Drosophila melanogaster: one gene and its partners. The protein of the gene in region 1 purifies or fractionates together with the protein of each later gene. This does not show direct contact. Each region holds a gene or a part of one and is shown in the gene's direction. Other genes may lie near its edges.

Region 1 (3,757 bases):
TTCAGACGCTTAAGGGTATTGGCTCCGTTGTCAACCGGATCGTGCATTCGCATATGCACGTCAAGAAGTGACTTCACCCGAAAGGTTGTGCTGCAATTCTTGCAGCTAAAAACTTTCTCCGGAATGCTTTTTGTCGATGTCTTAGCCGGCTTTGAGGCGATCTTCTCAGGCGAACGCACGCTGGTCACAGCGAGCGACTTTCTTATGCTGCTCTTTGTTAGCTTGGAGACGGGCAAGCAGCTGCGACGGCTTAGTGACACACCGCCACCGACACTCCGCTTGCGAGCTGGGCTGTTGAGCGTTGTCTTGACCACCACCGACATGCGCTGCTTGAAGGAGTACGTTCGCGTCTCTGCGGTGGTGGTGGGCAGATAGGAGCGCCGAGGGCGCGGTAGGGCGGCACCCGAATAAGTGGAGCTCATGGACTGCCTCTTCTTGCCCGCCTCCACTTTTAATTTGGAGGTCGCTGGCTTCACAGAATCAGCGGAGATCTTTAGAGCTTTGGCAATTAGCTCAGAGACTTCGTTCACTACCTCGTTGACATGGGCGACCTCCTTTTCGGCTCCGGCTGGCGAGACCAGCATGGATACTCCTTCGTTGGATACTGTAAATGTAGATGTTTATAGAACGAAACCATATCTCAATAGTATAAACCTACCTTCAGTTATATTCTCTAAAACTACGTTCGCACTCAAGGGATAGACTTGGCTGGGAGCTGGGGTCTTGGCAGCCTCCTGCAAGGATACATTGTCCATGGTAGCATCCCCTGTTTTTAGGGTATTGGCCTTAACCGTATTGGCGGTCACGTCCACTGAACTGGACAAGGTCGAGTTATCGCCGCCACACCCCTCCGGTTGTGTGTTTTCCTTGTCGTCAATTTGGGTCAGATCTATGCTCTCCATGATCTGTGGTGTCTGCGTTTCGGTCGAAATATTGCCCTTGGAGGGAGTGGAGCACAAGGCGTTGTGCCGGTTAAGAATACTTTTGTCAAATGGGCGCAGAGGAGAATTCTGGTCCGGTTCCCCAATGGTCAACTGATGCAGATCCTTTAGGATAGTGCGCCTTAGGTCCTTATCATCGGTGTTTACCTCCACCTTGCTGTTGTGCACCTCCAGGAACTGGCTGTTCTGGGTGACCAGGGCCGACTGCCACTTGGCATTGGACAGGGTGTCCTCCGCGTCAAAGGATAAATACATGGAGACGCTCTCATCGTTTGTCATTATCGATGAGCTACGGGAATCGATCTGCTGGAAGTGAAACTATTGTTTTAGCAATGAAAATGGGATAATGTTCGGAAGTCTTTTCCCGGCAAATGGAAGCAACACCAACTGAAACCACCAAACACTTGCCTTGCCGGCCATAGTTCTGCGCGAATCGTCCATGGTTAAGTATATGCTATTCCCAATTGGCCACGAGGAATTCCCAAATTAATAAATACAAGCAATTAAGCAAAAATTCGAGCAGCTGAAGACCGACGCTGTACCGAAAAAACAAAGCGTTAATATTTCAAACACACTTTTCAACACTGCGCGCGCAATGAAGATAGCAACGGCGCCGATGGGAATGCGCGGCTTTAAATTATGAAAAGTATTGAAAAAACTATAAATTCTTCACTACTTTCAAATTGATGTTAACGCGTAGGAGACTTTGTAGAAATAAATCTAATTTTTTCGGCACACGACGAATTGAAAGGTTACAGTGACTAGATGGGAAATATTTTTGAAAACATAAAATAATTGTGTTTTATCAGACTCGAACAGGGTTCATGTCTTAGATAAAAGTGTAATATCAGACTGGATTATTAGTTTATGCATGGTAAATCGACTTTTAAACTCAGATTTAATAGTAAAATGTAAGAAAGCCCTCTTTCGTAAATAGTTTGCAGCTTGTTTTGCTTAATTTCTTTAATTGTACTTGTTGCGAACTAAGCCTAAATGCAATATTAAACTTTTAAACTCAGATTTAATAGTAAAACGTAAGCAAGCCCTGTTTCGTAAATAGTTTGCAGCTTGTTTTGCATAATTTCTTTAATTGTACTTGTTGCGAACTAAGCCTAAATGCAATATTAAACAGTGTGAACACACGTAAAAATCGCCTATCGAAAACGACATCGATACTAACATCGATTTTTTTGCAGCTCTAGTATACAAATTGGCGAATTGTTGTGTGGTGTGAAAATTCATACTTTCGCAAATAAATTATTAAACCTTGGCAATAAGTTCCTACGTACGGAGCACAAACGAGCTCATCCCCGCCCCAATTACATATCCACCGAGTTCACACACCGAACCAGCACCAAGGGTAGTTTTTCATCTCGCGCGAGTGAGTCACTGGCCAGATTTCCCCACCCAAAAAAAAAACAAGACAGCCGTCTTGCCTCTCAACCACTTGCCAAGCTCAAGTTCAAGTGATCTCACCAGATAGATAGTTCCGAAATGGCCGCCGTGGAGAATGCCGAGCCGCGCACTGAGCTCCAGGAGCTGCAGTTCAAGTCCGGACAGGTGGCCGATGAATCCCTGGAGAGCACGCGTCGGATGCTCGCCCTCATGGACGAAAGCAAGGAGGCTGGAATCCGCACGCTGGTGGCCCTGGATGACCAGGGCGAGCAGTTGGACCGCATTGAGGAGGGCATGGACCGGATCAACGCGGACATGAGGGAGGCGGAGAAGAACTTGAGTGGCATGGAAAAGTGCTGTGGCATCTGTGTGCTGCCGTGGAAGAAGGTGAACATCAAGGACGACGGTGAGAGCGCCTGGAAGGCCAATGACGATGGCAAAATCGTGGCCAGCCAGCCGCAAAGGGTCATTGATGAGCGGGAACGCGGCGGCATGGGTGCACCACCGCAGTCCGGCTATGTGGCCAGGATCACGAACGATGCGCGTGAGGATGAGATGGACGAGAATCTCGGGCAGGTGAACTCGATGCTGGGCAACCTGCGCAACATGGCCCTGGACATGGGCTCCGAGCTGGAGAACCAAAACAAACAGGTTGATCGCATCAATGCCAAGGGCGATGCCAACAACATTCGCATGGACGGCGTGAACAAGCGCGCCAACAATCTGCTCAAGAGTTAAATATGCACAACGGCCACGTCCCGAAACCATAGCGAACATGTTAGTCAGACACCACCTCCATTTCAATGTTGTTAGGGAAAGAAACCAATGTTGTGGGCACAAACCGTAGCTGGTGGTATTGCGTTATTGATACCATATATTATACACATATACAAGTAGTGGCAACTACTCCTGGCAAACGCAAGCGTAACAAACCCATCTACTTACAAGAACTTTAAGCCGCCGAGCCGGATGAACTAACTACTACTTTCTAAAACTATATATATATATATATATATATATATATATATATATATATATATATATATATATATATATATATACATATATGCGAACCAACATACTAACTACTTACTATTACTACACTCGTGTACAAATGGCAACCAGATGGCGCCGGAAACAATTTTATTATGAGATTTACCGTATATGATGTACTCTGTTTTTGGTACAAACTTTTTGAGCATTTTACCGATCTTTGTGAAATCAAACCAAGCAACTGCTGAGATGGATAAATGTGAATTAATGTATTTACAATTCGTAGAACCACCGCATCCCGCACGGGCACCGAAAAACCAAACAAAGACGGGCGGAAATTATGTATAACGTAGCCAATTTTATGTTCTCCATTGTTAACCCTTTTTAAGTAGGCCATGTATTTGGGCATTTCGCAAGCCCAGCACAGC
Region 2 (3,520 bases), on another chromosome or scaffold:
GAGCCTTGTTTTCCCCAATAAATGCATGTAAAGTGGAATATTTTCTTGTGAATAAAATAAGAATAAATTAGCACGAGCGTTTCTATACCTATATTTTCTAGCAATAATCCCAGATTGCAGCTTGTAGTTTTCATATAAGATTAAAATCTAGCAGAGGTACATTTTATATTCATATTTACCACATAAGAAGCTAATGAAGCCAATGACTTTTGAAACCCACACTCACAATGAGTTGCATCAGCGGTGCTAATGAAATGCAAATATTATCAAATTCCATCGCACTGAAGAGATAAACTGCCTTCAAAGATACAAGGTGCTATCCAAACTGAATGGTCTGCGCAATCTAAGCGATAAGATGTCAATAATCCTACAGAATTGCCTAATAAACCGGGCTTATCTGGTGACGTAGCGAGGAAAGTCCAATCGATATGGAAACTTACTCTAGGCGGACCGATGATCATGCCGATCCAGTAGGTGAGCGTCATGTCGTCGTCGTTCTCCAGGCCCCACGATATGGTGCCATCGCCCACGCCCTTCTGGCCCTGATCCAGCTCCTCCAGTAAGCGGAAATTCCGTGGCACCACTGCAATGTGAAACGGCAAAGAGGTGAGAACTCGATGACATAATGCATTTTCACTGAAAAACTTAAATCTTTAAATATAGTCATTAAGTTAAATGTCAGCTTGTTTTTAATTTTCTGGTTGGCGGGGCAAGAAAGTACTTAGCTTTCTAAATAATTATAATCACGGGCTCGTACAGATAAGATACATATATATAATTATAAACGACAGTTTTATCTATTTAGAAACAAACTAGTAAGGACTGTTCTACACATTTTCTATGGTATAAACCATTTTCGGTGATATTTCGGCGACTTTTCCTCTCAGTGTGGGGTCATATGGGTACGTGTTGTTGTTGTTTTGCGCTCTGCTTCTCGTGTTGTTTTTGTTTTCGGCCGTGTGACTTTGTACGCATTTTCGTGCAGAGAACACAAGTCAAAAAAAAAAAATGCGAAGCGCAGATATTAAGCACGATGGGCGCGGGGGGAGGGTGTGTCGGCGGGGGCGGGGCGAAAGCATAATTTCTGCATTTGCAAAAACAATCCAGGCAAATGTAAATGGCAGCTAATTTAATTAGAAAAGACAAGGCAGCTTGCAAAAACGCAAGTGTGCAAAAAATAAGGAAAATAAAGAAAAAACTTTAAGTATGAAGGCAAGAAGAAGAGCGTGCGCGAGCGAGCGAGCGAGAGCCACATAGTGAGGAAGGAGCGGGGATGATATTTCGGAAAATGTCAAGTCACGAAGCCCAATTGCAACGGAGTTTTTCCAACGCCAAACGCGGCCAAGGAAAATTGCAAGAGCAGCGTGGTCCGCTGGCGAAAATAAATTTCCATTCGCCCATTTCGCTTTTATCGGCTTTCGTCTTTCGCCCTTGCTTTCGTCTTCTTTTTGCCCGTTTTGCACCACACACACAATCACATTGCGGTCCGCTTGTCGGGTCCGTAGCGGCGGAAAAATCGCCGCCGGTCAGCGGGAAATGCAGAAAACGGATGGCCAACAACTCCGGGCGTGCGGGGATCGCATTTTTAAGCTGCCAAATTGCTAATTTATCAATTTTATTTCTTACCAACGCCGGTACTTGATGTATTCGCCATTGTGGTTAATGCTAAGTGCTAAAATACCGTAAAAGTGTGCTAACGCGTTTCCAGTGCGATGTGACCAGTGCGGTTTAGGTTTTGCTTGGCTTGCTTAACAACTCTGATTTTTACACCGTTAACAGTGGTAACACTTAACAGCGCCGTCAAGTGCAATATTTGGTCACTAATTAAAAATCATTATTTAACAATATATAGCATATTCTCTGAAAATAAAAAGGAAATTTAATAGTTGCATTAGCTGATAAGTTTGTCATAATATATGGTCATACCAAAAACGGCAGCCAGCTGCTCTGCTATCAGTGCTGTTAACTAACATGACACTCTGTCCAATGTTAACGCGTCAGCTTTTTTAAAAACAAACCAATTGCAACCGATTAAATATTAATTTGCGAATATTCTCGGGCCCATAAATTAATGCGGAATCAATAGGTGTAACGACATGGAGAGCTTGTACCACCAAACCAACAATGTGGTAAAGGACATCGAGCGCGATTTCCAGCGACTGAGTCAGCTCAGTGCCCAGGAATCGCTTGACGTGGAAAACGGCATTCAATTGAAGATTACCCAGGCGAACGCGTGAGTTCTACAATGATATATATTATCCCAAGAGGAGTTTGTATTATTAAATAAATCTTTTGTGTTTAGAAACTGCGATCGGTTGGATGTGCTGTTGTATAAGGTGCCACCTTCGCAGCGACAAAGCTCCAAACTTCGTGTGGATCAGCTGAAATATGACCTGAGACACCTGCAGACATCACTGCAGACGGCGCGGGAACGAAGACAGCGACGGATGCAGGAGATCTCCGAGAGGGAACAGCTGCTGAATCACAGATTCACGGCAAACAGCGCGCAGCCGGAGGAAACGCGCCTGCAATTGGACTACGAACTGCAGCATCATACGCAGCTGGGTAACGCCCATCGGGGTGTGGACGACATGATTGCCTCGGGCAGCGGCATTCTCGAGAGCCTGATCTCGCAGAGAATGACGCTGGGCGGAGCGCACAAGAGAATCCAGGCGATAGGCAGCACACTGGGTCTGTCCAATCACACGATGAAACTTATTGAACGCCGGCTGGTCGAGGATCGTCGGATATTCATCGGAGGAGTGGTGGTCACCTTGCTTATCATCGCCCTGATCATCTATTTCCTAGTGCTCTAATCTGAAGACATCGCGTTTAGTTGAGTTTAAATTAAATGTACTCTATTTTGTAAAATGTTAAATTAACAATTGATCAATTGTGGATTAATCCTCGGCCTCCAGTGAGATATTGCTGCCGAACCGCTGGTACAGATGAGCCTTCAGCTCGTCCATTTCCGCCTTGATAACCTTCGCCTTGGCCTCCACGCCGGCGATCTCCTTGAGCACCTGCTCCTTGGTCTCCTTCAGCATGTCCTGTGTTTTCTCCAGCTTGTGCGAGAGGAACACCTCGCCAACCAGGAACGGTATGTCCTCGTCCTCGTCGAACAGCTCAATCTCCTCCAGCGCCTCCTCCAAGCTCTTCAGCTCATTGCGCTTCGTTTCCAGCTCCGCTTTGAAGTCATCCATGCGGGCGTTGTGCTTCGCAAAGCGGTTGATCCGCTGCTGATCCTCGAAGGAGATGTGCACGTCATCGTGCTGAAAATGCGATTTAAAATATATATCATAAATTTCAATTGAGCAGATGCACAGAAAAAACCATGACAAAGTGAGGTTACTTTTCATCTTAGTCAGCTGTCCTTTGATGATTCACCCATACTCACGTTCTGGAACACTTTGTTCGTGCCGCTCGCTACTTTTGCTGCCATTTTCCCGTTGGTTTTAATTAATTTAATAAATAATTTATGATATTTTACAAACAGTTGCTGTTTTCGGTGCTTCGCAAA
Region 3 (3,659 bases), 360 kb from region 1:
TTGAATACGTATAGTCGCAAGGATGGCATTAATACGATCAGTTTTAGGCGGACGCTCAAGTCATGTGAGTTGGTTATCATAAGTGGTATGCCTTTTGCTTACTGATGCAGCTCTTTCACATTTTAGCCGATGATGGCGATAAGGAGATCTTCCTAGACCGCAGCAACTACGTGATCTGGGCATTTGGCCCATTGGACTCCAACAACGAGCCCGCCTTTCACACTTACTATCCCAAGAGCGATATAGTGATAGATTTTAACACCACAGAACCGGTTAATGATTGCTTTGCATTTACAAAACGAGCGGAGACGACTAATCCTCCAGTGTGGGAGCGAACCAGGATAACAGATGCGTAAGACTCCAATCTTCCTGCAATGAAAATTTAATATAGTTCCTTGTTTTGCAGAACGGTACGCACATTCAACGCCTACTTGGGACCCTCTGGAGGACTTCGTGGCTATCAGGGATTGACGAATCATGTGTCCAGTGGCTTGGCCTGGTACATCAACGGCTACATGATTCCAGAGCTTTACCTAAAGCGTGGTCTGACCTACACCTTTAAGGTTAGGGGTGGCAATAATCCTCACTCGCCGGAGCACTATCATCCGTTGGTTATCACCGATGATCCCCAGGGTGGGTATGACCGACTGTCTGATGCAAAGCAGAGTGAGATTCGTGTATTAGCCGGTGTTGAATTCACCCGGAGAGGCAGGCCCAAGCCCACGGCTGCTGGTCCCCTGTGCCTGTCCAGATATCCTCAAAATAGTGATCGTCGACTGGATGATAACTTCCCCACTTTCAAGAAGTTCAATCGATCCCTCATCACCGAGTGTGTAGAAGGGGAACCGGCTCTATTGGAAATTACACCGAATATCACATGGCCGGATACTGTGTACTACAACTCCTTTACCCATGGCAATATGGGCTGGAAGATTCACATCGTGGACAGTTATACCAACTTGAAGAGTGGATCGATGGGCTTATCCTGGTCCTTGTGCATCATCCTGCTACCGTGGCTCGTGCTCCAGAACTGACTGTTTTCTCATTCTTAGATTCTCCTATTTAGTGTCTTAGTCTAAATTAAGCAGTCACAATCTATGTATTTGATACGCGTGTGTAGAATGTATGCTAAATGTTGTGTATATTATTATTTATATGATATTTAAATACAGAACTGTGTTGTACTTTAGAAGAATGAGCTATGAAGTTTTGACCCAACAAAAAATCTAATATACATCATTTTTTCAGTGAATTAGATTTATTTGAAATGTTATTGTAGAATCATGGCAGCTGTTATTCTGGATGAAACATGGTGTACAAATCACCGAAATGGGCGCCTAAGATTCGGATTCACGTTCTACCTTCTTGCGCGGCACAGGCTTTCCGTTCACCCACGGAGTGAACTTCACATGGCTGATGTTTCGCTTGGCGGCGTCTGCACGGAGCTCAATGCGCAGGGCCTCTCGCACCACACGGGCTGCGATGTTGGAATACTGGATATAGGTAATACCCAGATCTCTCCAGGCTTTCATCTTGCAGTAATATGGGATTAACTATAAAGATGTTAGGATAATAAGTCAAAAAAAGCTATCTGCATATAAAGGATCTTACCTTCTTCCGTTAAGAATTCGATATAAAACCGAGCGACGGGTTTCTTTTCAAGATTTCGCACACGATTGGTAAAGCCTATGTTAATATTTAATTGCATTAAGTTACAATATCAAAGTAAGTTAAATCAAAGCGCCTTGCTACCTCCTCACTTTAAGATCTTTTAAGGCAAAGCACGTGTCTTTTTATCGATGTTTTTTTTTTATCCAGACAGGGCTACAAACTTAATCGAACTAGGAGTTCTATGGATGCGATAAAAGTTCGATTTGAAACCAAATCGATACAATTTTTTAAATATATTCAAAATCCAGCTTACATGAAATGTAAATATAGCTTACTTTTCACCCCCCAAGCTCGCATATTATATGGTATGCATTTATTTAATTAAATACAAATATATATTTTATGCAACTTTAGTAAAGCACTTAATATTACCATAATACCAGTGTCATACCCGCATAGAAAAGGAGCGGCCTTTTGTGTTTTTCTCGGCACTTGCGCACTTGGGCACACTTATTTGAATATAAGTCACTTGAATTGATTTTTTCAACACGCAAAGGTTGTAACTTAGCACTATGAGCACTCTTGATGCCAAAAAGATAGAAGAGGCGGAGGCCTTGATAGGACAGACGGATAGTGCCGCGAATGAGTATGCCAAAGCTGGTATGTATTTCAAGGCAGCAACCGCATATCGAATTGCCAAAAGTTTCGATAAGCGCAAGGATTGTCTTTTGAAGGCCATCGACTGTTACGAAAACAACAAGTCATGGTTCCATGCAGCCAAATCCTACGAGCAGATTATCCTGCTTGCCAAAGAAACGGACAAACTGTCCGAAGTGGAGGACTATGCCAATAGGGCTTGCTGTCTCTACCAGCAACATGGTTCGCCGGAAGCAGCAGCTGCTGCTCTCGATAAAGCCGCCAAAATGACGGAATCCAAGCATCCTGACTTGGCTTTGGGATTTTACAAACGCGCCCTGGCAGTCGTCTTGATTGGGGACTCCACTCATCAGGCATCGGAATTTGCATCGAAGGTTTCCCGGATATTGGTCAGACTCAAAAAATATGAAGAAGCCACGAAAGCCCTCAAAAAGGAAATAAGCCTAAATCTGCAGACAAAGTCTTACGGACAAGTTGGCCGTTTAGTAGTTGCTTTAATACTGGTACAATTAACACTAGAGGATTACGTGGATGCCAAGAAGACCTTCAAGAAATGGGGAAACCGTTGTGATCCCCAGGAGGTGAACACATTACAAAACCTACTCAAAGCTTTTGACGACGAGGATCCTGAGCTGGCCACCAAGATGCTGGCATCTCCATTCATAAGACACATGGACGTGGAGTACGCACTTTTATCTAAAGATGTGCCATTACCAAAAGGAAATCGTCAAATGACCAAAAATGCAGTCGACAATGCCGCAAACTAAAGAGCTTTTACAAAATGTGGTTTATAAATGTTGTAGTAGTTTTATTATTGTTCCTTAGGTGAAAAAGTTTCATAAATGTAGGTACACTGTTAAAAATATACAAAAATATAAAAAGTGCTAACTCAGAAAACGCATCAGGTGAATTTATAATGCCTTTCCACAACTTTTATACGAAACATATTTTTTACCTTTAAATTTATTGTTACTCAATCTTTTACACTACTTTTTATGCATTTTATACATATTTTTTACATATCCCTAAAATTATACTAATAGTTTTGAACATCGAGTTCTAATTAAAATTATATTCGCTTAATAATATGCAACGTTTGACAAAAAAATGTTTTCAAAATTAAAATTGACAAATACATTCACGAAAAAATCTTTAAAGCATGTGTTTTAAATTCTTTTCAAATAATTGGAGCTCTCACTTAAGAAATTCGTGTTCAATTTGATCAGGAAGCCCAGCTTAACATTAAGCCCTAATTTTATTTTGAGTTATCAATCGGCTTATTGGACTTTAGATTATTTTGGACTCTTCGCCGTGCTTGTATCTGCAGCAGATAAGATACAGTTGAGACCATGTGTATAATTAGCCGTCCCATCAATAAACTTATCCACTGG

The links.
Region 2: the proteins of Snap24 (region 1) and Membrin purify together in Drosophila melanogaster (affinity purification with mass spectrometry, with the first as the bait; one large-scale study listed by BioGRID). This does not show direct contact.
Region 3: the proteins of Snap24 (region 1) and gammaSnap2 purify together in Drosophila melanogaster (affinity purification with mass spectrometry, with the first as the bait; one large-scale study listed by BioGRID). This does not show direct contact.

The regions. Positions count from the first base shown.
Region 1 is NT_033777.3:9,761,528-9,765,284, reverse strand, and holds the start of Snap24 (Synaptosomal-associated protein 24kDa), read left to right. Parts: upstream 1-2,134; 5' UTR 2,135-2,435; coding exon 2,436-3,074; 3' UTR 3,075-3,757. Other genes in the region: CG8478 (uncharacterized protein), read right to left, coding at 1-604, 659-1,259, 1,350-1,382.
Region 2 is NT_037436.4:5,364,503-5,368,022, forward strand, and holds Membrin (membrin), read left to right. Parts: upstream 1-1,952; 5' UTR 1,953-2,096; coding exon 2,097-2,233; intron 2,234-2,302; coding exon 2,303-2,816; 3' UTR 2,817-2,879; downstream 2,880-3,520. Other genes in the region: Uev1A (Ubiquitin-conjugating enzyme variant 1A), read right to left, coding at 441-583, 1,627-1,654; Pfdn4 (prefoldin 4), read right to left, coding at 2,901-3,272, 3,398-3,442. UniProt on the Drosophila melanogaster protein: Involved in transport of proteins from the cis/medial-Golgi to the trans-Golgi network.
Region 3 is NT_033777.3:10,119,899-10,123,557, reverse strand, and holds gammaSnap2 (gamma soluble NSF attachment protein 2), read left to right. Parts: upstream 1-2,157; 5' UTR 2,158-2,183; coding exon 2,184-3,035; 3' UTR 3,036-3,159; downstream 3,160-3,659. Other genes in the region: knk (knickkopf), read left to right, coding at 1-64, 127-352, 407-1,034; ATPsynepsilonL (ATP synthase, epsilon subunit-like), read right to left, coding at 1,338-1,532.